4 linked regions of the Arabidopsis thaliana genome follow. The protein of the gene in region 1 purifies or fractionates together with the protein of each later gene. This does not show direct contact. Each region holds a gene or a part of one and is shown in the gene's direction. Other genes may lie near its edges.

Region 1 (5,591 bases):
AACTAAAAATGTCTCAAATGTACTATACAGAGAAATAATCATTACTCTTTCCAGCCTAGTTTGCTACTGTGGTCGATAAAGTTGAGGTTCCGGTCCAGTCCCGAGAATGTATCAATCAGATCTGCAAGCAAGGGGCATTGATAATCCGGGCAGAGATTATTTGAAACGAAGAAAGAGAGACTAGATACATAACTATATTACCATCTTGAGTGACTAGAGGATAATCCGAGGCACTGAGATTGATGAACCAATCCCATTCTTTACTCTGCTTCAAGAGAATAGCGCAAGCGTGGAGCGTGTTAGCCACCATTGTGGGTCCTCGATACGTAACAAGGTTAGCCTTTGTGATCATGTGAACATTTCCAACATCGCTAAAAACAGGATCTTGGCTCACACGTTTAGCCAGCTCAAGCCTCTCTTCAGCAGGAGACTCGAGATCAAGATGAACAACGTACTGATTCCTAGGATGGTATAATGTTCGTAACACTCTCCACAGACTCTCTAAGTCACCTCTTGACCCTGAAACTAGATAACCAAAGCGAGGAAGACTAGGCTGTACTGGAGGAGGATGCGAGGACTGATTGATCTTTGACTCTGCAAATTCGACTCGTGTCTCGTTGGTGGTCGATAGATTGTAGGAGAAGATGAGTGAGTTAATAGAACGGACAGAAGAGAGGAGACCCATGTTGAAGGATGCAGCTATAAGGAATATGAACATGAGAGAAGCCATTGCTAGAGGGAATATCCATCTCTTCTCTGAGTTTGAGGACGCCATTAAAGAGCCTTCTCATATGTGATCGATCTCAAAAACCAATGTTATGTCAACGAAAGAAGCCAACACTTTGATATTGTCGACGCATCAGAGAAGAAAGATCTTCACAAATCGAGGTAGCGCCTAACCTACGCCACAGTTGACACACAATCAGAAATCTATACATGTATTGATGAATATTGAATTCAAACAACGATCAAACACAGTTTCTGATCCTTGATTCCGATCATGCAAAGAGTAAAATAAAAAATTGATACAAGTCGAAAAATTGAAGAGGAAGAAAAACAGAGGATTTGATGAATCGTCGTGATCACAAAGTATGAGTATGAGCCGATCTTGTAATAATAAAAAAGATCGAAAAGAAAAATCTAGAGCTGTCTAAGGATAATGAAACCTACTTTACATGTTCCTATTCGTAAGAAATCAAATAACGTAAAAAAAATACCTGGTTCTTAAAATTTCATGGAGATGACGTGAGAATGTTTAAAGATCCGGGCAGTTCTTAACACAATCCACGAGGTTGTCTTTGTCTGAAACGAAGATTTGTTTAATTAAAGTGTCGGATTACGTACCTTTTTTTTTTTTTCTTTCTTTTCTATAGAAACTAGATAATGAAAGAAAGAAAGAAATCTGAGAGTTATGGTACTAGCCACTGGGCTTCGGTTTTTCCACAGAGATGTTTTCGTTTTAACTCACTTCCCAGAAAGAAACGGTGCCTTCTCCTTTGACTTTTTATCTGAGTCCTTTGATTTTTGATTTGTTGTGAGGTACTGGCGTATTAAATTGCATTAATTTCAATATACAGGCTAAAAAAACATAGGAGTACTTCTTATTCATTATTGGAGGATGTTACTACTGTATACTGGTGTGGACAAAACGTGTGATATGGACCGACGACGTTGATGATTGCATTTCGAATAAAATGAAAATGGAGGAAAGTGGCCTAGTAATGCGGAAAATGCCAAACATCGTATGATCGAGGCATAATGAAACCCATAATAATGTTTTTAAGAGGTGGCATTATGATGATTTAGCTTAATGGTTATGTGTCCTCATTTCAATCTTTGGGTTATACTTAATTTGTATTATTAGTTAATATATGTAAATATGTTTTCCTTAATGGTATTGGATTTATTATTAATGGTATGAATATGTAAAGAAGTATTTAGTGGAAAATATATTTTTCTATATCCCATTCACCTAAATTCCATTAATTGTCAAACATTTAGAGCTATTAGCTATAGTATTTTTATTTGATATCAACAACTCTATTTTTATTTGATTACTACACTTTTCTTTTTAATGTTAAGATTTATACCAAATATTTTAAAATGATTACAAAAGTAAAATCTTCTAGTAAATTGAAACTACGTAAATAAAAATGTTTATTACTTTAGTTACTTAAATATACAATTTCCCCCTTTTTTTTAATTATTTTTTGCTAAACCCTAAAAATCTTTTAACGGCGTTTATCGTTCTTCCACTCTCTCCGCCGCGTTCTCTGTCTCTCAAACCCTCAGGGTAACGATTCTTCTTATTAGACCAACTGTTGCTTCTTTCGCATCGTAGCTCTGAGATTGACCCATTGATTTCTCAACTCTTTCTCAGTAATCAGATTCGATTTTGTTTAGTCTCAGCTCAGAACAATGGCAGCTAAACCTGGAGCCGCAACTCCAACGTATTCACCTAAAATCGTCGGAAGAAGTCGGCTTCCTATATTCAAAGATTCCGACCTCGATTGGTCTCGTCCTGATGGCCGTGGCTTCCACCAATGCCGACCCGCATGTAAAAACACCTTTGATTCCTCTAAATTCTTAATCGTTAGGGTTCTTCATTGTGAAATTACGGTTGGATTCATATGACTCCAGTTATTTGTGAGACTAAACTAGATTTGAATTTTGTTTCTTTTGTGAAAAATGCTTCTTTCAGTACTTCAAACTGGTGCTGTGAGTTCTGCTTCTGGTTCTGCTTATGCTGAGTTTGGGAACACTAAAGTTATTGTTTCAGTGTGAGTATTATTAGATTAGAAAACTTGTATATTCAGGATTTGCATTAACTTTTCTGTCAGCTAAATTCGCTTTTGTGTGTTCAAAAATTTTAGATTTGGGCCAAGGGAGAGTAAGAAAGCAATGGTTTATAGTGATGTAGGTAGATTGAATTGTAATGTTAGCTATACAAATTTTGCTTCCCCTACTCTTGGCCAGGTAATCTCCAAATTTCGCAACATTTGGTGTTAACTTGTTTCATCAAATTTAGTAATACATTGTGGTATTTTAGGGAACTGATCACAAAGAATATTCATCAATGCTTCACAAAGCATTGGAAGGTGTAATAATGATGGAGACGTTTCCAAAAACAACCGTTGATGTTTTTGCATTGGTTCTTGAATCTGGAGGAAGTAAGTCTTAACAATAACTCGACTGCTATCAAAATTATTTTACCAGAATGTGATTGCTTATTGGTTCGCTTGGACATTCGTGGAGTTGATTATGGAAGCAACTTATTGGATTGTTGTTTGGCATTTTCTGATTTTCTCCAATGGTATTGTATTGCAGGTGACCTCTCTGTTTTGATATCATGTGCTAGTCTTGCTTTAGCTGATGCCGGAATTATGATGTATGACCTTATCACAGCTGTTTCAGTGGTATGTGTATGTTACAATAGTTGCATTGATTCCTCTGCGTTATCTCTTATGTTTATTAGCATTAAGTGAAGAAGAAAGTAACACATACATTGACATATACAAGTGCACCATAGTCTGAGACATGTAAAACGTATAGATATCTGTTAATTCTTTATTTTGATACACTGAAATTATGCCTGCAATTTTCGAAGTCTTGCATAGGCAAAAGCCTTATGATAGACCCGGTTACAGAGGAGGAAGGATGTGAAGATGGCAGCTTTATGATGACGTGCATGCCATCTCGTTATGAAATCACTCAGCTAACCATCACTGGTGAATGGACAACACCTAATATCAACGAGGTATGCCTTTCAATAATATCTCTTGTCCTTAATTTGCCGATGACGGTTAGAGACAAAAGGTCTTTCTTTTCTTAGTGTTGAATATTGATGTTATTCAACTGCTTTGTTTGTCTAAATCACATGGATATTGGTTAATTAGACTGTTCTTCATTTTCTTTTTAAGCTGTTCATACCATAGGGTCTATGTTGTTAACATATAATTGTGACATAGGAGCTGTGCAGACATGTTACCAAACATTTGTATTTCAAATATTGCAGGCAATGCAGCTTTGCTTGGATGCTAGTTCAAAACTTGGAGAGATCATGCGTGATTGTCTGAAACAGTCTGCCTCAGCTTCCGATGAATGAGCATAAATAACTATGATTTTGGATTGTAGCTCAGACTTGGTATGAAACCGGTTTTAGCTGTTATAGGTAAACGGATTTAGTCTAAACCTGTGTGTAGTTTAAACCGATGTATGTTTTCACATAAGATTTGATGGAACTAGATCTTTAGCTATGAAATGGATCCCAATTGCGAGTGGTATCAAAGACATACAGAATTTAAAGTAGGGAATTTCAACAAATCAATCACATTGTTCTTTACAATTTCAAAAAACTTGTGGATGATATTAATATCAGATTTTCTAAATTTATACGAAAATGGAATGATATTAAGAATAGTATACAGAAAAATGAAGAAAAGAGTAACTGATTTTTGCATCTTAAAAAAGAAAAAGTCTTCTCTGGTTCACACATCACACAAGTTGGGGGCGGTGATGAAGGAGGGTGTTTAGGTAATATCAGCTAACGTCGGAACTTCAACTGATCATGTAGTACGTACGATACGAAGAAGAAGAATCTAATCCGCATGACATGTGATTATTTTGGTCAGAGAGAGAAGAGAAGACGTGTGTCGCAGCAAAGTGGACAGTTGTGCCCTTATAGCCAAAGAAGACTTCACACGTTTTCAACACCACCTAACAACTGTTTCTTTCTATCTCCCACCTCTTCCCCATTTTTGTCTTTTTATTTCTTCTTCTAGTTTCTCCCAATTTTCTCTTTGATTTTTTTTTGTTTTTTCTTGTCTTCTTGTTAAGATTGATACATGAACTAATAGAGTAACTAGTAAATTCTAAGACCTTTCAGCATTCTTGAAATGACAATTACAAACACACGATAATTTGCGGGAACATGAATGATAGAAGACATTAGAAAAAAAAAACTCCAATGTATAAAAAGTTTATGAAAAATATAATAACATTTTTTACGAATTATTCAGTTTTCTGTAAATTTTTATTTATTTCGTAAATGCTTGTATCTAACATTTCAGCTAGATTGTTCTACTGATTAATTTCTATCTAACATTTTATGAACTTTATCATTTCAGTAACCGCAATGCCCGTGACCACTCTGCATATAAAAGTGTATGTCTTCTTCACATTCAATCACACGTACTTTCAAAATTCTACTAAAAATTAAATGTTTTTTTTTTATATAACTAATCAAAGATATCTAAAGTTTTTGAGTCAAAGTTATGCGTTACTCAAATAGAAAAAAACATTTAGAAACCTAAAATAATATCTGCTCCTCCTAAAACATTTAATAACATTCAAAAACAAGTCAATAAAAAAAAAAAAATTTACGAATAAAGCCCTTAATTAGTCAAAAATGAACGAACAAAACAAAGGTAGGAGAAAGTATGAATGGCCCAATCGGGGAGATTGCAGTAGATTCATACAAATCTGTAAATACAATTTTACCGGGTTTGGTAAAAATCACAATAGATCATTTTTTATTAATAAGAAAGAGAAAAAGAATGCAAATTCGTGGGGTTTCCAAGAAATGCAAGTGA
Region 2 (5,413 bases), 1.8 Mb from region 1:
CTTGAAGCAGAATTTGTGGCTTCTTTCTCCAGGTATTTCAGACATTTCTTTATAGCAAGCAATTTTGAGGGAAGAAAACTGAAACTAGATAGAGAATATTAAATGCTAAAAACCTTTATCATCATCTTTGGACAGGATGAAGAAGTTAATGACATTTCCTTTAGCGCTCATAGAGCACACTCAAAAGTCTATGTGCGTGAATCCAGCTCATTCTCTAATGGTTTCAATAAGTTTTGATTAGTTGATAAAGTTACAAGGGGCAATTATAACAGTTTTCAAATTATTGAAACACTTAGGTGTATTATCACAAAAATAAAAAGTTAGGTGTCATTGGCAATTTAATACAAGTTTCTAATTTGATGATATACATGCATTAAACGTGCTTTGCAGTTTGTGCATATAACGAAATTTAGTGTGTATTTTAAAAAGCATCTCCTTACTTGTGCCCTGAAGTGTATGCTTATAAATTTAGTTCTCATTGTGTCAGCAAACTGTGTGTTATCAATTGCCTTACTCCAATGGCTTCAATAAGCTTACTTCAAGTTTCCGTAGCTATCCTTTGCTTTCTCATCCTTCATTACTTTCTCTTCAAGAAACCTCATGGCCGGTACCCTAGGAACTGGCCGGTTCTCCGGATGCTACCCGCTATGCTCAAGGCGCTTCACCGAATCTACGACTACAGCGTGAAGATTCTCGAAACCTCTGACTTGACCTTTCCATTCAAAGGACCGCGGTTCACAGGAATGGATATGTTGCTCACGGTTGATCCAGCTAACATTCATCATATAATGAGCTCAAATTTCTCAAACTACATCAAAGGACCGGAGTTCCAAGATGTTTTTGATGTGTTAGGAGACAGTTTCATCACCACGGACTCGGAGCTATGGAAGAATATGAGGAAATCTTATCAAGCCATGCTCCATAGTCAAGAGTTTCAAAGGTTTTCAATGAGTACCATGACAAGTAAACTCAAGTACGGTCTTGTTCCCCTTCTTAATCATTTTGCTGAGGAAGGAACAACTCTTGACTTGCAAAGCGTCTTCGGGAGGTTCACTTTCGATACAATTTTCATCCTTGTAACTGGTTCTGATCCTAGATCTCTCTCCATTGAAATGCCTGAAGACGAATTTGCTAAAGCTCTCGACGATGTTGGAGAAGGGATTCTTTATAGGCATTTTAAACCAAGGTTCTTGTGGAAGCTGCAAAACTGGATAGGATTCGGACAAGAGAAGAAGCTCACTGAAGCTAATGCAACTTTTGACCGCGTGTGTGCCAAATACATATCAGCCAAGAGAGAAGAGATTAAAAGATCACAAGGGACTTCCAATGGAGGAAGTCAGGATCTTTTAACTTCCTTCATAAAGCTAGACACGACCAAGTACAAGCTCTTGAATCCGAGTGACGATAAGTTCCTTAGAGACAACATCTTAGCTTTCATTCTAGCGGGAAGAGACACAACAGCCACCGCTCTCTCTTGGTTCTTCTGGCTTCTCTCTGAAAATCCACATGTGGTAGCCAAGATTCATCAAGAGATCAACATCAACACTGATCTATCAAGAACAGGAAATAGCCAAGAGAATGTAGACAAGTTGGTGTATTTACATGGTGCGTTGTGTGAAGCAATGAGACTCTACCCACCAGTTTCCTTCGGACGCAAGTCTCCAATCAAATCAGATGTGCTTCCAAGTGGCCATAAAGTTGATGCAAACTCTAAGATTATTATCTGTCTTTATGCATTGGGGAGGATGCGAGCGGTTTGGGGAGAAGATGCATCGCAGTTCAAGCCAGAGAGATGGATTTCGGAGAATGGAGGCATAAAACATGAGCCTTCCTTCAAGTTTTTGTCGTTTAATGCCGGTCCAAGAACTTGTCTAGGTAAACATCTAGCTATGACTCAAATGAAGATAGTGGCAGTGGAGATATTACGAAACTACGACATTAAGGTTCTCCAAGGACAGAAGATTGTGCCAGCTCTTGGTTTTATATTGTCAATGAAACATGGTCTTCAAATCACTGTTACTAAGAGATGTTCTGCTTGAAATTATTCATGTATTAAATAAAAAAATCATTTTGGTTTGGTTTTGATTTGGTTCTTAGTTTTTTTTTTTAGTTTTACGGTTTAAGTAAACCGAAATCCTAATATTGACTGGTTCGGTATAGTTTTGGTTCAAAATTTGCGTGCAAAAAAAAGAAGAGACTGTGCAGTGTTGTTCCTTTCTGGGTTCTCATCGTCGTCAAGGAACAAGCTTTAACAGAGTTTAACATATATTAGGGTTCTTATCTCCAAAACCCACCTCACTCATGGCTGCCAAAGTTTCTGTCTCTCCCACAAGCCTCTTAAATCAGATTGTGGTCCGTATATCTCTAAAAAGTTGGCTTTTTTATGATTTCGATTCGATTTGGTTACAATGAAGCATGGTGTTTTCAATTTTTAGGTTCCAGGTGATGTTGTTCTTGATTTGTCAAACATGAATAACCAAACAATCAAGCTCGGAAGTGGCCTTCTTCAGGTTTCATCTTCTTCTCTTTCTTATGTGTTGTTTGAATCCTAACAATTATTCCAGTGGGCACTTGATTTGTGATATACAATTGCAACTAAAAAGGAATTGTAGATTGACATGTGTTTGTTTTTTTGGCTTATTTTAGGATAATGATGCTATCTCTGCCATGAGAGCTGGCAAATTAAGTTACTCCAAGCCTAATAAGTATTGGCTCGAAAGTTCTCATAAACGGGTGAGCTCAGTGGTCTTACTAATCTTCCCTTTCTGGTTGCTTCTCTATTGAGCTTCTTGTGGATTATAACTGTGTCATCTGCTCGGATACTAGGTCCACTTGATTAATCATGAGTAGAAAAGTAACAAATAACCTGGCACAATTGCATCATGAAGAATTGAAGATTTGCCTTTTGTAGCATTTTGACAATTTGATGCTTTTGTGGATCATTCTTGCTAGTTTTCTCCCTAGTTATTTGATCATATACATCTGGCTTGATAAGACAATTTACCATTTTTGGTTTTCAAAACTCTAGTAGAATATTGTTTTGTTAATTATCTATGTAAGTCTCGTTCTCTTTGTTGCTGACTCTGTTATTATGTTTTTTTTTTGCAGTATATACCTCGCCCTGATGATCATGTTCTTGGAATCGTGGTCGATTCTAGGGCAGATGTAAGTCCTTTGAAATCATTGCTTGTATAGATTCTTGTGTTGTTTTTGGATCCCTCTCAGACTGGTCATCTCTGAAAGCATTTTATTATACTTTAGTTGTCAAATACGATACAAATATATGTTTGTCAGTTTCCGCGACTTCAGTCCTCATTTCTCTGAGCCAATAAAGGTGAACTTGTTTGTTGATGGTCTTGGATCAGTAAATAAATAGGTGGGAGTATTGAAGTTATGGTCTAAAATCAGAAGAAAACTGATACCATTATTGGACAAACAAATGTTAATTGACTTTTAAATTATCAGCTGCAGTTAAGCTTTCTTGCATGAACTAACATCGCCTTAGTAAGTACTGAATTGTTTCTTTTACTCATCATGTCATTGCAGAATTTTTGGGTGGACATTAAAGGACCTCAATTAGCACTTTTGCCAGTTCTTGCATTCGAAGGAGGAACACGAAGAAATATTCCCAAGTTTGAGGCATGTACATTCTGATGACTCAGGAAGCTCTCTTGAATTCTCATTTGGGATATGACATTCTCTATGAATTGATTGTTTCTGGAATGTTCAAATTTTTGTGTACTAAACAGGTAGGCACTCTGCTTTATCTCCGGGTTGTCAAGACAAACATAGGAATGAATCCGGAGCTGTCTTGTACCGAGGGTAAGTTAAAAGCTTTGGAGGCTAAAACAGTGCTGCTTCTCTTAATCCCTTTTAAACTAATTGTCTCTTGTTTCTATGTATTAGCTAGTGGGAAAGCTGCATTATTTGGACCCTTGAGAGATGGTTTCATGTTTGAAACTTCAACTGGTCTTTCAAGAATGTGAGATATACTTCCTCATAAAAAATGTCTCCTTATACTTTATCTATCTTCTTTCGCCATTACAACTTTACTTTCTCATCTCTTATAGGCTGTTGAATTCACCAACGCGCCCGGTCATTGAGGCTCTTGGAAAGAAACTCTCGTTCGAGATAGCTGTGGGCTTAAATGGCAGAGTTTGGGTAAATGCGACAGCTCCACGTATAGTCATTATCGTGGCCAATGCAATAATGAACTCGGAATCTCTAAGTGGGACTCAGCAGAGAATCATGGTTGAGAAATTGCTCGCGATAATTTCAGACTAAACGTTATTGTTCTTGAAATGTAACTGAACCCTCATGATGCTCTTTATAGCAAGTGATTTTGATTCATTCAAATACAATTTTATACAGTAAAAGTGTAGTCTAAATAAAAATACATATGCCACATGACGAATGCTTAATCTGTATACAACAGTAGTCTAAAGGTTGAAGAAATGATACATAACATTGTTAAAGCGAGGGAGGCTCGTATCTGCATACACAATCATATATGTTTCCTTTTATCAACTTCTCAGCCAATCTCTGATTTTTAACCATTGCTAGCTGCCAAAAAGGAAGAGAAGGTTTCAGCCAAAAGTTTCAATAACAGTTCTAGAGCTGAAATTTTCTGTCAAGTGAGGTTTAAACCTTGAGAGCCTCGCATTGGAATTGAGCGTTGAAGTTGGTGTGAAGTGCTCTTCCCATACCTTCCAAGACAACCTGCAATATTGTTAAACATCAAATAAAGAACAAAGCTTCTCTTTTTTGATGTGTTTGAAGTTTATGTCAGGTAGAAAACAGAGAAGGTTTTGTAGATACAAGATCAGCGTCTTTGGCAGCGGCTGCAAGCTCAGAGCTGACTTGTCTGAGGTCGATACAAGGACTTCCACATCCATTTTCAACAACCATCAATGGTGCTGACGTTGAATCCTTCTTTGATCCATCCCCTGGATTTACCATCGCATCCACAAGTAAGCCTCCCATTTCTGCCGCTCTCCTCAAGATGTCACAGTGCTTCAAGAGTAAAGACCGAACAAAAGAGTTAGTTACATGAAAGAACATCATAAACACTGCACAGAATCGAAAGTTAAACCTTAGCAGCCCCAGCGACTATATCAGGCAGTTCCATAGCGGTCACGTCGTTAAGAGCAGGAAGAGAGTTTGCCACTAGAACAACCTGGGGAATCATAATAACATTTTGTTTAGTGTTTCCTCAACTAATTTCACAATGAAATCATTTGGTCTGTGCATTTGATTTTGTGAAGAGAAGATTACTATAGGAAGAGCTAGAGAGAGACACGTACTTCAGTCCCTCGACGGAGAAACTCTCGAGCAAGAGGAAGCATCCCAAGAATGACATCTGCTCCCGAGTTATCAACAAAAAGTAATGCTCTTTTATGTCGATGAGGCTGCT
Region 3 (6,196 bases), on another chromosome or scaffold:
ATTTTTTTTTATATATATCAATTTTGTTTTAAAAAATCAAAATTTCAATGTCCATACAAATTTTGGATCCTAGTTCATGGCTTTTTTTTTTTTTTTTTTTTTTTTTTTGTCAAAGATCCTAATCTATATATGCCTTAAGGTGCTTATACCATGGACTTTGAGTATAAGTAAAATTTTAAACCCAATATTTTCACATCATAATTTCGAGCTTTGGCGATGGTAACCTCAACTTTCATAACTCATATAGCACAATTTAGGTACATTAAATTCAAAATTCTTACGACGAGTGACGACATCACAAACTTTGTCATGAAAATACCACATGAGTGATGAGTACTTAATACACAACCATGTTCTTTTCAAAACCGATGCGACCAGTGTCGGCAACAATAAAAATATATACTATCACAACGGCAAACACAACATCGGCGAGACACTAACATTAAGGTGATGACAACTTGACAAGTAGTGTTGATCCAATTCGAAGCTAAAGATATCAGTGACACGAGCTCGTTTTTTCTGTCACTATATGTCTTTGCTTTTGAAATGGAGTATCAGAAACCGCTTCTCTATTGGTTATTTATGGTGGGGTGTGGAAGGCTTTTGGCTTCCTATTAAAAATTACACGCCCTCACATGATTATGCTAATAAATAGTATATAGAAATAAGACAACACTCAGTCACTCACGACTCACGAACAAAGTTCATCACCTTATCTTTTTATCTTTATCTTTATTTACTTTCAAGATAATAAAAGGTACGATGTTCTTTGTATGAACACAAAATAAAAAGAAGAAAAGAATGTTCTTATACACGTGTAATATATGAAAAGAATCATCCAACTAACTCCATTAACGAACTCTCGTCACATTATATATTTTACACATCATCGTTTAATAGACACTATACGAAAACAGTATAGTATTTCTAAAAAGACATCCGAAAGAGAACCTGCGAATCTTGGCCTTTAAGCAACCTTTGGCTGAAGCAATTCTTCTATCCTCCTCTCCTTTTTCATTTATTTATCAAATATACTCCAGTTTATTCTTTTCTTCCCACTTTCAATGCCTCTCATATATGTAAAACAAATCAAAGTATAATAACTCTCAAAACATGTAACTTCGATTCCTATCTATTAGAAATTGACGAGAGACATGTCGAGAACAAGAGTGCGAGCTGTGACCCATCAAGATCTTGTTCCAAACCCTAAAACCACAGATCTCAGCAGCAAAACCGGTATTTTCATCGCTGTTTTGACAATAATCTTTGGCCTCTCCTGCTTTGTTCTCTGCCTCTATGCCGAAGCCACAAGATCTCAGGTACATTACTATACAGGGATGTATATAAACTTTCTCTCATATGTTTTCATCATTTATATTTTCAAAATAAATCAGAAATCTATATTGATTCATGTTTTATATTAATTACCATATCGTTCGATTATAATAGTATTTAGTATAAGTTATATCATTGCCATTAATATGTTGTCAATCATTTGCAATAGGCGACATGGGGAAGCAAAACATGCGTGTATAATGGTAGCGGGAAAACGCCGTTGTTGTGTGGTGCGATTGCGTTTGTGGGACTAGCGGTGGCGATGGTGGGCTTCCACATGTACTTACTTATCGCAGTCACCACATCGCCGTCTCTGGTTCTGGTTGAGTGGGATCCTGACTCTGTTCCTGCGAAGAGGCTCACTTTTCAAGCTGCCTTCTTCTTCGTCTCAACATGGTACGTAGACTTATTCTAACGCAACGAATTAATGTCATGTAGTTATAAAAAATAAAATAAAAATAAAAAAATCCTAACTATAAGCAATCGTGAAATGACATATTTATGTTACTGACCATAGCTTAAGTTAATGATAATTTTGTGATTATATTATTCTTTTTTGTTCCTATAAGGGTTTGCTTTGGTGTTGGAGAGGTTCTACTGTTGGTTGCACTTAGTGTGGAATCAGGACATCTAAAGAACTGGTCTAAACCAAAACCTAGTTGTCTAGTAATCCGGCAAGGCTTGTTTTCAGCGGCCGGAGTGTTCTCACTTATAACCGTCTTTCTAGCCACGGGACTTTACCTAACCGCTCTTCAAGCACATCGAATCTCTAAGGATCTTGAAAACACACATAGAGAGATCATCGAGGCATCAGTTCTTTATGCATCTCCTCCAAGATCGCCTACAAATCGGATGGCTACGGTTGCTCGAGAAGGTCTTGCTACTGTTAGAGATGAATCGACGTCTTTGGAATATCTTGTTTCTTTAAAGCAACTTGCACATATAGTATAGTGTACAATGTATAGTAGTTAACATAATCATATGAGAAAAAACAATGTTTTTACTTCTTACATAAGCAATTCAAAATCACAAACCAAAACCTACTTTTTCCAATCAATACATGAACTTTACCGGAAAAGTAGGTTTTCCTTCGCCGGAGAAAACACTACACATCTAACGAGTAAACTCTGCAAATATGGTTCTTTTTATCGTCGGTAACGAGTAACTAAACCAACTTCACGGTTTAGTTCGGTTTAGATTCAAGTATTTTAGCTTATAATAATTATTGACTAATTATTTCAATTTGGAGCTCTTAATAATATGATTGTAAACTTTATCTTAAATTTAGATTATCAATGATTTATGATTCAATCTACTGTATAAATACGGTTAACAATTAAAAACGATAATTAGAAAACCCTCCCGCTTCTTCAAATTGAAACTGTTGTCGCTTCTTCTTCATCTTCACCACTCTTGCATTCTCTTCTTCACTTTGCAAATCCCATTCAGTTCAAATTTCTAGGGTTTCGCTTCGATTTTGTGAATTGATTTAGAGAGGTCGAAGAATCGAGAAAGCTATGTCCTTGCGACCGAGCACGAAGACAGAGATCCGTCGAATCCGTTACAAAGTCTCTGTAGATGCGGAAGAAGGACGCAGAAGAAGAGAAGACTTTTTAGTCGAGATTCGCAAGAGTAAACGCAACGAAAATTTGATGAAGAAACGTCGTGTAAAAGTTTTGCCTCCTGATTACAAGTTGATTTCCAACGACCCCTTTGAGAGTTTGGTAAAAGTTTGATCTTTGGTTTTGGATTAGTGAAACCTAGGTTTTGAAAGATACGACCTTTATCATTATACTCGAATGCTTTCGAATTGGGTAATTAAATTAGATCCTCTCTGGTGATGGTTGTAGTTGGAGATAGCGAATATGATCACTGGGGTTTTCTCGGATGATCCTTCATTGCAGCTTGAGTACACAACTCGGTTCAGGGTGGTTCTATCATTCGGTAAAACTCTTTACTTTTCTTTGATCTTGAGTTGAAAAAGATACGAACTTATATTTACTTGAATGGTTTCTTAAAGTCTTGTGGTTTTATATATTGTTCAGATAGAAGTCCACCTACTGATAATGTGATAAAATCTGGAGTTGTGCCACGTTTTGTAGAGTTTCTTAAGAAGGATGATAACCCTAAGCTTCAGGTTAGACTTAAAGTTCCCATCTTTGATGATTAGTGTAATCTTTGGTTCTGAATTCTTTGATCTTTTTTATAGTTTGAGGCTGCTTGGGCTTTAACAAACATTGCTTCTGGCGCATCTGAGCATACCAAGGTAGTGATTGATCACGGTGTTGTGCCACTCTTTGTTCAGCTTCTTGCTTCCCCTGATGATGATGTCCGTGAGCAGGTATAGTGCTTCTTCTGAGTATGAATGGTTAAATATGTGAGTTCAAATTTTGAAGAGTTTGATGTTACACTTAATTTGCAGGCTATATGGGGACTGGGTAATGTTGCTGGTGATTCAATACAGTGCCGTGACTTTGTTCTTAACTCTGGGGCATTTATTCCACTGTTGCATCAGCTGAATAACCATGCTACATTGTCGATACTTAGAAATGCGACTTGGACTTTATCAAACTTCTTCCGTGGCAAGCCTTCACCACCCTTTGACCTGGTATTCTTACTTCTCTATTTCCTCAGTTTTATAGGTGCAATACTTAAACTTATGAAACATGATTTATAGGTGAAACATGTTCTCCCTGTACTTAAAAGACTTGTTTATTCGGATGATGAACAAGTCTTGATAGATGCTTGCTGGGCGCTTTCGAATCTGTCTGATGCTTCAAATGAAAATATCCAAAGTGTGATCGAGGCGGGTGTTGTCCCAAGACTAGTTGAACTTCTCCAGTTAGTACTTCTCTCCAAATATTAAAAAATTTAACCGTTTGATACATGTTTGGATAATGAAGGCTCGCCATTTTTTTCTTTTGCAGACACGCTTCTCCAGTTGTACTTGTTCCTGCACTTCGTTGCATTGGGAATATAGTTTCTGGAAATAGTCAGCAGACTCACGTATGTAATTCATATTCCTTTGATGGAGCCTTCAAGAACACGTCTCTTGTACACCGTGTGAATTTATTGTTTTTCAAAGCAATAGCACTATCAAAAGCTTAATTTGTAATCCTGTATCTTGGATGATTATATCCTGGAGAACACTTCATTTATATGTTGCTTGAGTACTGTGTTGAGATTAGATTTTGTAACCAAATAACTCTTTGAACTTATTTTTCAGTGTGTGATCAATTGTGGTGTTTTACCCGTTCTTGCTGACCTGCTTACTCAAAACCATATGAGAGGCATAAGGAGGGAAGCTTGCTGGACGATTTCAAACATCACTGCCGGTTTAGAAGAACAAATTCAGGTGAGCATGAGTTTGTGATTGTTACTGTTGCAGAACTTGAACAATTTACGTTGCTATCACTAAATATTTTCTATTTGTCTTTCTTGCATTGATGATGATAACAGTCGGTTATTGATGCAAATTTGATTCCATCGTTGGTCAATCTGGCACAACATGCTGAATTTGACATAAAGAAAGAAGCTATATGGGCAATTTCAAATGCTTCCGTGGGTGGTTCTCCTAATCAAATCAAGTACATCCCTGTCTTCTTTCTTTATCACTTTTTTCATGCTTATTGATCATCTATATTCACAATATCCATTGGTGTGTATCAGATACTTGGTGGAGCAGAATTGCATAAAAGCTTTATGTGACATCCTGGTTTGTCCAGATCTAAGAATCATCTTAGTGTCTCTAGGTGGACTGGAAATGATTTTGATTGCTGGAGAGGTGGACAAGAACCTAAGAGACGTGAACTGTTACTCTCAAATGATTGAAGATGCAGAAGGGCTAGAAAAGATTGAGAACTTGCAGCACCATGGCAACAATGAGATCTACGAGAAGGCTGTGAAGATTCTGCAAACATACGGGCTTGTAGAGGAAGATGGAAGGTTAGTTGAAGAGGAAGATGAAGGTGGTGATGGTTGTTCTCATCCGGAATTCCAGTTTGATTTTTCTCGTTAAGATCCCACATAATCTGATATTAGATTTTGATGTAAAGAAATAGCTGTCATATTGAACCAAAAGCATGCACATAATATGATGGTCCTAAAAGACAAAACAATGTGGATTCCAACAGGAAGTGGAACTTGGTTCTCTAACAGCTACTCATCATATTGGAATCAAGTTCCACTTCCTGTTAGAGAACCAAGTTCCACTTCCTGTTGGAATCCACATTGTTTTGTCTTTTAGGAAAAAATTTTACTCAAATTTACCGAACTAACGGTCAAAATTAAGAAAGGGTTAAATTATTTGTTTACCGAACTAACGGTCAAACTTTAAAGATGGATTCAGTTTTTTTGACGCGGGACGGATTTGTTTTTTTTTTTTTCTTTCGAAATGGATGGGCTCTTATGCTATGGGCTTTGGTATAACGTAAAAGGCCCATATATTCCGAAACCACTTTGTGTTTCGTTTCCATGGAGAAATTGAATCATCGAATTTGGTCGCCACTTTGAGAATTTAGATGAATTCGATAACAAGCTCAAGTAAGAAGGTGCAGAGATGCTTTATTATTTCTTCGCTCGTTGTTAACTCTTCTTCATTCTCGTCTCTGCTATTTTTTCTTAAGCTTCGATCAAAAACCCTAAACAATTCATCTGGATTGAAAATAGAGAATGCTAGACCACAGTGAGAAGATAAAATGATCTGATTCTGATTCGGGTGATCGAAGATGAACTGTTGGAAATGATGATGATCTGCTTCTGTGTTTGTTTCAGATCTTCTTGGTCAATTCAGAAACCATGAAAGCAAGAGCTCAAGTTATGATCGAACAGAGAAACCACAAGAAGAATTGTGCTGATCGTG
Region 4 (5,873 bases), on another chromosome or scaffold:
CCTGACTCACCAGCCGACGTAGAAATCTTGGGCTCTTTGGGTTGCAGTGGCATCATCCTTGGAGCTTGTAGTAGGAATAAGCCCTAATATGAATAAGCTAAATCCTATGGAACCTCCCTGCTTATCCTGCATATTATATATACTTTATAGTGTGTTTCTTCTCACACATTCAAGAGAGGGTTATGTAATATATACCTTGTATTTTTGTTTGTATCGTCTTGAAACAGAGGCGTGCGCAAGCAACAAATTATGGCCTACAATATATGGTTCAATGGAAGAGTTCCCTGAAGAACAGTTTTTGCTCGGTTTGGAACAACGACCAGGCGGTGTATCCCCATCGTTGTAACCTCCTATAGAGAATATATTAGCCTCGTTGATCGTGGTCCATAGTTTGACATGGTTCCCAAACTCTCTGAAGCAAACATCTGCATAAGTAGTAAAGTCTTTGCTGCAATGGCAAATAACATCAACTTTTGTTATTTTATCTTAAACTACAAAATCTGTAAGAGAAAATAAGTAACGCCTACATCATTCTGTGGTTGAGCCATCCTCCATATTCATCCTCCAGAGACTGAGGATGATCATAGTGGTAGAGTGTAACATGTGGTTCAATTCCTGTAGTAAGTCTACTTAAACTCTAGTTAATACGAACTAAACCTAACTCTTGAGTCCTACCGTGGATATGAAGATAGGTCTTACCGTGGCTTACTAACTCTTGGATGAGGTTCTTGTAGAACTGTAGACCCTTTTGGTTAACAGGCCCTCTTCCATCTAATCAGATAATAAATTACGAACTGATCATAAATTTGATCCCTTCACTGAGCTATAACATGTTTAAGAAAACTTACTAGGTATTAGCCTAGACCAAGAGATGGAGAATCTGAAAGCATCTAAGTTAGTGTCCACCATCAACTTCACATCATCCTGTATAAATTCATAATGAAACTCAGGCTTGATGAATAAAACCTCATGATGTAGTCAGAGAAACAGAGAAGCTAAAGAACCTTGTACTTGTGATACCCATCACATGCTATATCTCCGTTACCTTGGTCACCTGCAATGTTAGAAACAAGAATCAAAGCACAAGAGTGACAAACTCTAATACTAATAATAGTTTGTGTTAAAATGAAAAGCTTACGAGAGTGACAAAGAGTGTCCCACAGGCTAGGTTTCCTTCCGTCTTCTGCAGCAGCTCCTTCCCACTAGTAGAGACCAAACATTTGGTTCAGTTTTGTTCAAAAGTTAAGAAAAAAGAAGCTCATAAATTGGTTCCAAACCTGATAAGCAGAAGTGCCGGCTCCAAAGACGAATCCCTCAGGGTAGTCAGATCTGCTGAAAACGTCGCTGCATTTCCCGGAGAAAGCAAAAGCAAGAAAAATGGCAAACAGAGCCAAAATCTGTTCCATTTCTCACACACACACACACTCTTTTCTTCGTTCCATGTTAGAATAAGTAAGTCCAGTAGCCATTTGCGTACCCGCTAGATATAGTTGTGACGTAGACATTAATGATGATGCAATTTAGATAAGAAACATATTGGGAAGTGTGTTGAAATGAATTATGGTCTTTATTTACTATGATAAGAAACAGATTACGCTGGATCGGAGCCCAGGTCTGACCAACCCAAATAACGAAAGAAACTAGGGGACCGGAAAACCATGCGGCTATGCAGCCCCAGCCCCACATATATGAGGGCTTTTGGGCCAAAAAAATATTTTTGGACTTTTTGTTACATTTCAATTTTTTTTGGGTATTCCTAAATTTTTGTTAATAGTATGGACTATGATATAATAACTTTTGAGGTATTAAAGTAAAAATATTTGGTCCTCTTATAAAGAAAAAAATATTTTATTTCATAAAACTTAATAATTATTACAAAGCATAAAATATTAAACATACATTATCTTAAAATTTTAAAATAGATGTGAAAAAAACGGAATAACGATAAGTTTTTCTGTTGATTGTTGCAAATTTCAATATACGAATACTTATAACGATGTTTTGAATTGAAATTTTCTACGAATACTTATAACGATATATATAGTAAAAGAGAAATTTCTTAACTTATAATTAAACACCATTAAGTAATGTATGGAGGATTAACAAAATTGGATATAAAACAAGAATGTATAATGTTCATTTTGACGCCATTTCTTCTTCTTCATATTTTACAATTTACACTAAACATTTTCCCAAATTCAGCTCATAATCAAGTGCGCCTCATATTTTCGCCAAATTCATCTAATTGAAAACCCAAATTTCAATATACTCATGTCTTGTGAAGCAAACAAATCTCTTATTTCGCATTTCTTTGGGCTTCGCAACATTATTGGGCTTTGTTTGGGGCCCATTTAGAATGAAGAAGTACTTTAGTTAAAAACTCAGATAAACCTAGCCGTCGTCACCGTCACCGTCTCCGTCGAAATCCCCATTACTTACGACACCGCGAGCTCTCAATCTTCTTCTTACACTCTATTGCTTGTGTTTCCTCTTCACTACAACAGTTTCGTGTACCAAAGGCAGTTCTTTCTTTTGTCCCAAGGTAAGCTTTGTGATTCCTTGAGACTGTGTTGATGAAGCACAGACTCAGAGACTTTTGGTTTATGATTCTCTTTATCTTTGTGACATGAAGCAGAGCTAAAGAAAACATGGGAATACCAGATGCAGCTCAAGACTTGTCGACAGAGATGGAAGTTGATGCTTTTAGAAGAATCTTCCCTCTTCGTTTCTTTGAGCGTCATCTCTCTGAATCTCTTCGTCCTGATGGAAGACAACTTGGAAAAGCTAGAGACACCATTGTTAATCTTGGTATAAACAATGAAGATTGATTCTTTTTAGTTTTTATCAAATTAAAAATGTCAACTTTATAGTGGTTTCTTGTGTTTGTTGTAGGACTTGTTTCAACTGCTGATGGGTCTGCTCTTGCTAAGATTGGTTCCACTGTAAGAACCCGCCTTAGTCGTTTCGATAGTATTCACATGATCAGCAATGTTTTGCTTACATAGTTGTTTCGTGTTTATAGACTATGCTTGCTGCTATTAGAATGGAAGTTATGACTCCTTCTACGGACTCTCCAGACGAAGGATGCATAGGTTGTTATCTCGTTGTCTTGTTCTCTATGTGGTTTGTTGTTCTTCTTTGGTGATTCATTTTGTGATTCCTTTTTGGTAGCTATTGAGTTCCATATGCCTCCAATTTGTTCTCCGACTGTTCGTCCTGGAAGACCAGCCGAAGCTGCTCCCGTTATTTCAAAGCGTTTGTCTGATACTATTTTAAGGTGTGTTTTGGTTTGATCTTTCTCTTTATATTTTCTCTGTCTCATTGAGCATCAAATACAATGTTCCTTCTAAAAGTGTTTCTTTTTTGTTCTAGTTCTGGTATGATTGATCTTAAAGAACTGTGTCTAGTTAGTGGAAAAGCTGCTTGGATGGGTTATCTGGTGAGTACTCGTTGGTCTTATATCGGTGCTTGTCCGTCAGTTGATTCACATCTATTCTTCTAGGGATCTTTCTCTTTGATATTTAACTGAGTTCTCTAGCATATATATGAACATTGTTGCTCTCTGAAATTTCTCATAGGACATATATTGCCTGGATGCTGATGGTGCTCTCTTTGATGCTGCTCTGCTTGCTGCTGTCGCAGCCTTCTCCAATCGTAAGTTCTTCTCTGTTCTCATCCTTTAGTTGGTTTCACAGCTCCTTTAGAGAACCTTTGAATAAAGCTGATTCTCAAGTTTATCAAATCCATTTCGAATATGAGTAAAAAGAGCAAGCCTTAGAGAACACTTAAATCTTGCTGAGTGAGTCATACCTGAGTAATATTCTTCCCTGCACAATAGCGGTTTGTTCAGAAGTTGTGTGATTGGTGTTCCGAGACAGAAGAATTTTTCCTCTGATGCATAAAATATCTTTTATATTGCAGTGCAAATTCCAATTGTTGCTCTGAATGACAATGGAAGAATAGTTGCCGTCACTGGAGAAAAAGATCAAGACAATGCTTTGATCACCGAGAAAGAAGCAGTGAACAAGGAGAAGAGAAAACTTACGCTTAAGAACATTCCTTTCTCTTTAACTTGCATACTTCACAAGAACTACATCTTAGCAGATCCAACAACCGAAGAAGAATCGATCATGGACACTCTTGTGACTGTTGTTTTGGATTCCTCGGATCAAATGGTTTCTTTCTACAAATCAGGAGGAGCTGCTCTCGCCTATTCATCAGCCATCAAGGTGAGAGTTTTAGCTTTCTCTTAGGTTAATCCACCACTTGATTTACACCGTTTTTTGTTTCTTATAAAGTTGCTATGCGCAGAGCTGTGTCGAGTTAGCAAGGAAGAGAGCAAAGGAGCTTAAGCAGATATTGGGAGAGATGGATATCGACTAATTTATCAGATGGAACGATTCCATAACATTGTTGAAATTTTGTGTTACATATTTTAATCAGATCACCAAGTTACCCATTTAGAGGCAAAGGAAGAAGCTCTTCACCATTTTTGTTCGATTGTGTTACGGTTTTGTTTGTCATATAACGACTTTAATTTAGTGCTAGTGTAAGTGTGAGATTATATTATCTCCATTTCAAACGAACCGAAATGTGCGTAAGCTGATTAATTTTACAAATGTTCAAATCAAAAGCAATTAACAAGTTTGTTTGTTGACCACCATCGCAAGTTTGTTTTTGATTAGGCTTTTCTGAATTTTTTTATGTTATAATGTAAGGGTATGTTAAAATATTATTCCATTTAAAAGAGGCATTGTAACAAGAACCATTCTGAATCTGTGAAAGAAATATTCCATACTAGACGAGGAAAGTCCTCGAGAGACTAATTAAATACTAAATAACATAAAATCATTCTGAATCTGTGGAAGAATCATATGCTAAGCGAGGAACTTCCTCCAAAGACATGAGACTCTCAGTGTGATTATGATAATAGCGGACCTCTCTTACATTTTTATGATTAAGCTTCCAGAATTCTTCGTCACCAATTCCTTCATATAATCATATTTGACCCTCCTTACTAGGGTTCTTTTTGGATCATAATATAAGACATAAATTGCTTCAGATGTTGTTGCAGCTGTATAAATAAACTCACCAGTGGATCATGAGTAATACCTCTCAGCCCCCAAGAAACTTTCCAGATCGGGTCACGTTGAGGAAATTTTCTAAGTGACCGTTCTTGTTTCTCTTCATCCTCCAAAACCCAAAATCATTTACCAGAGACGTCGTCAGAGCAAACCCATGCAAATTTTCCTTCGTAGTTGAGGAAAAATTTGCAAAGTAAATTATCAGCCGCTGATTTTCTTATTGTGTTGAACTTTTCGTACCTCACATCGAAGCTCATAAGGACTTTCTCAACTTCAGAACTATCATCGACTCCAAAAGGTATACTCGCTTCATAATACACTTCCCCGTTGATACATATACTTTGTATTAGTCCCTCGGCGGATAGAGGGACATGTTTAGGGGTATTTTGTGTCACTCTCCATGATTCTTGAGGTCCCAAAGTAAAAACAAGAGGATCTTGGTATCTAGAGCATGAGATGCACAAGACTTTATACTTACCCTCGACCGGATCATATCCTAAAGAGCTACATTCAAATGCGACTTTTGGTAAGGTAACATGTTGTCTCATGATTGGATTCCAAACTACAATATGCCCCAAGAATCTCCCAAACATATCAAGCCATGGACCGACTGGGACCATTCGTGATAATCAAATATGAGAGTGTCTTTCAGATAACGCTCCACATGTGGATAACATGATCTGTCCGGATTTTCATGTTGGGGCATTGCGCAGAAAATACGCTTGTCACTTGTTTTCACGCAGACCAAAAGACACAACCTAGTTGAAGACTGACTCGCGAACGACCTGA

The links.
Region 2: the proteins of RRP41L (region 1) and AT4G32175 fractionate together in Arabidopsis thaliana (co-fractionation; one large-scale study listed by BioGRID). This does not show direct contact.
Region 3: the proteins of RRP41L (region 1) and IMPA-5 fractionate together in Arabidopsis thaliana (co-fractionation; one large-scale study listed by BioGRID). This does not show direct contact.
Region 4: the proteins of RRP41L (region 1) and AT1G60080 fractionate together in Arabidopsis thaliana (co-fractionation; one large-scale study listed by BioGRID). This does not show direct contact.

What each region holds. Positions count from the first base shown.
Region 1 is NC_003075.7:13,737,543-13,743,133, forward strand, and holds RRP41L (3'-5'-exoribonuclease family protein), read left to right. Parts: upstream 1-2,205; 5' UTR 2,206-2,293; exon of another isoform or gene 2,294-2,403; 5' UTR 2,404-2,418; coding exon 2,419-2,557; intron 2,558-2,629; exon of another isoform or gene 2,630-2,688; coding exon of another isoform or gene 2,689-2,701; coding exon 2,702-2,780; intron 2,781-2,873; coding exon 2,874-2,976; intron 2,977-3,049; coding exon 3,050-3,170; intron 3,171-3,327; coding exon 3,328-3,416; coding exon of another isoform or gene 3,417-3,485; exon of another isoform or gene 3,486-3,607; coding exon 3,608-3,757; intron 3,758-4,015; coding exon 4,016-4,105; 3' UTR 4,106-4,356; downstream 4,357-5,591. Other genes in the region: AT4G27480 (Core-2/I-branching beta-1,6-N-acetylglucosaminyltransferase family protein), read right to left, coding at 46-121, 202-775. UniProt on the Arabidopsis thaliana protein: Non-catalytic component of the RNA exosome complex which has 3'->5' exoribonuclease activity and participates in a multitude of cellular RNA processing, maturation and degradation events.
Region 2 is NC_003075.7:15,533,254-15,538,666, forward strand, and holds AT4G32175 (PNAS-3-like protein), read left to right. Parts: upstream 1-2,180; 5' UTR 2,181-2,301; coding exon 2,302-2,352; intron 2,353-2,435; coding exon 2,436-2,510; intron 2,511-2,646; coding exon 2,647-2,733; intron 2,734-3,108; coding exon 3,109-3,165; intron 3,166-3,546; coding exon 3,547-3,639; intron 3,640-3,749; coding exon 3,750-3,822; intron 3,823-3,906; coding exon 3,907-3,982; intron 3,983-4,070; coding exon 4,071-4,284; 3' UTR 4,285-4,349; downstream 4,350-5,413. Other genes in the region: CYP96A2 (cytochrome P450, family 96, subfamily A, polypeptide 2), read left to right, coding at 519-2,039; PANK2 (pantothenate kinase 2), read right to left, coding at 4,471-4,563, 4,648-4,719, 4,819-5,013, 5,093-5,176, 5,304-5,413.
Region 3 is NC_003076.8:19,991,173-19,997,368, reverse strand, and holds IMPA-5 (importin alpha), read left to right. Parts: upstream 1-2,696; 5' UTR 2,697-2,852; coding exon 2,853-3,059; intron 3,060-3,185; coding exon 3,186-3,279; intron 3,280-3,380; coding exon 3,381-3,472; intron 3,473-3,544; coding exon 3,545-3,676; intron 3,677-3,757; coding exon 3,758-3,943; intron 3,944-4,012; coding exon 4,013-4,176; intron 4,177-4,262; coding exon 4,263-4,341; intron 4,342-4,561; coding exon 4,562-4,690; intron 4,691-4,794; coding exon 4,795-4,922; intron 4,923-5,004; coding exon 5,005-5,353; 3' UTR 5,354-5,423; downstream 5,424-6,196. Other genes in the region: AT5G49320 (transmembrane protein, putative (DUF1218)), read left to right, coding at 1,155-1,319, 1,505-1,731, 1,905-2,286. UniProt on the Arabidopsis thaliana protein: Binds to conventional NLS motifs and mediates nuclear protein import across the nuclear envelope.
Region 4 is NC_003070.9:22,151,115-22,156,987, reverse strand, and holds AT1G60080 (3'-5'-exoribonuclease family protein), read left to right. Parts: upstream 1-2,344; 5' UTR 2,345-2,542; intron 2,543-2,635; 5' UTR 2,636-2,648; coding exon 2,649-2,808; intron 2,809-2,892; coding exon 2,893-2,942; intron 2,943-3,022; coding exon 3,023-3,092; intron 3,093-3,171; coding exon 3,172-3,277; intron 3,278-3,372; coding exon 3,373-3,439; intron 3,440-3,578; coding exon 3,579-3,654; intron 3,655-3,921; coding exon 3,922-4,229; intron 4,230-4,311; coding exon 4,312-4,383; 3' UTR 4,384-4,758; downstream 4,759-5,873. Other genes in the region: BGLU4 (beta glucosidase 4), read right to left, coding at 11-126, 196-448, 528-615, 700-771, 849-924, 1,005-1,054, 1,139-1,202, 1,278-1,406.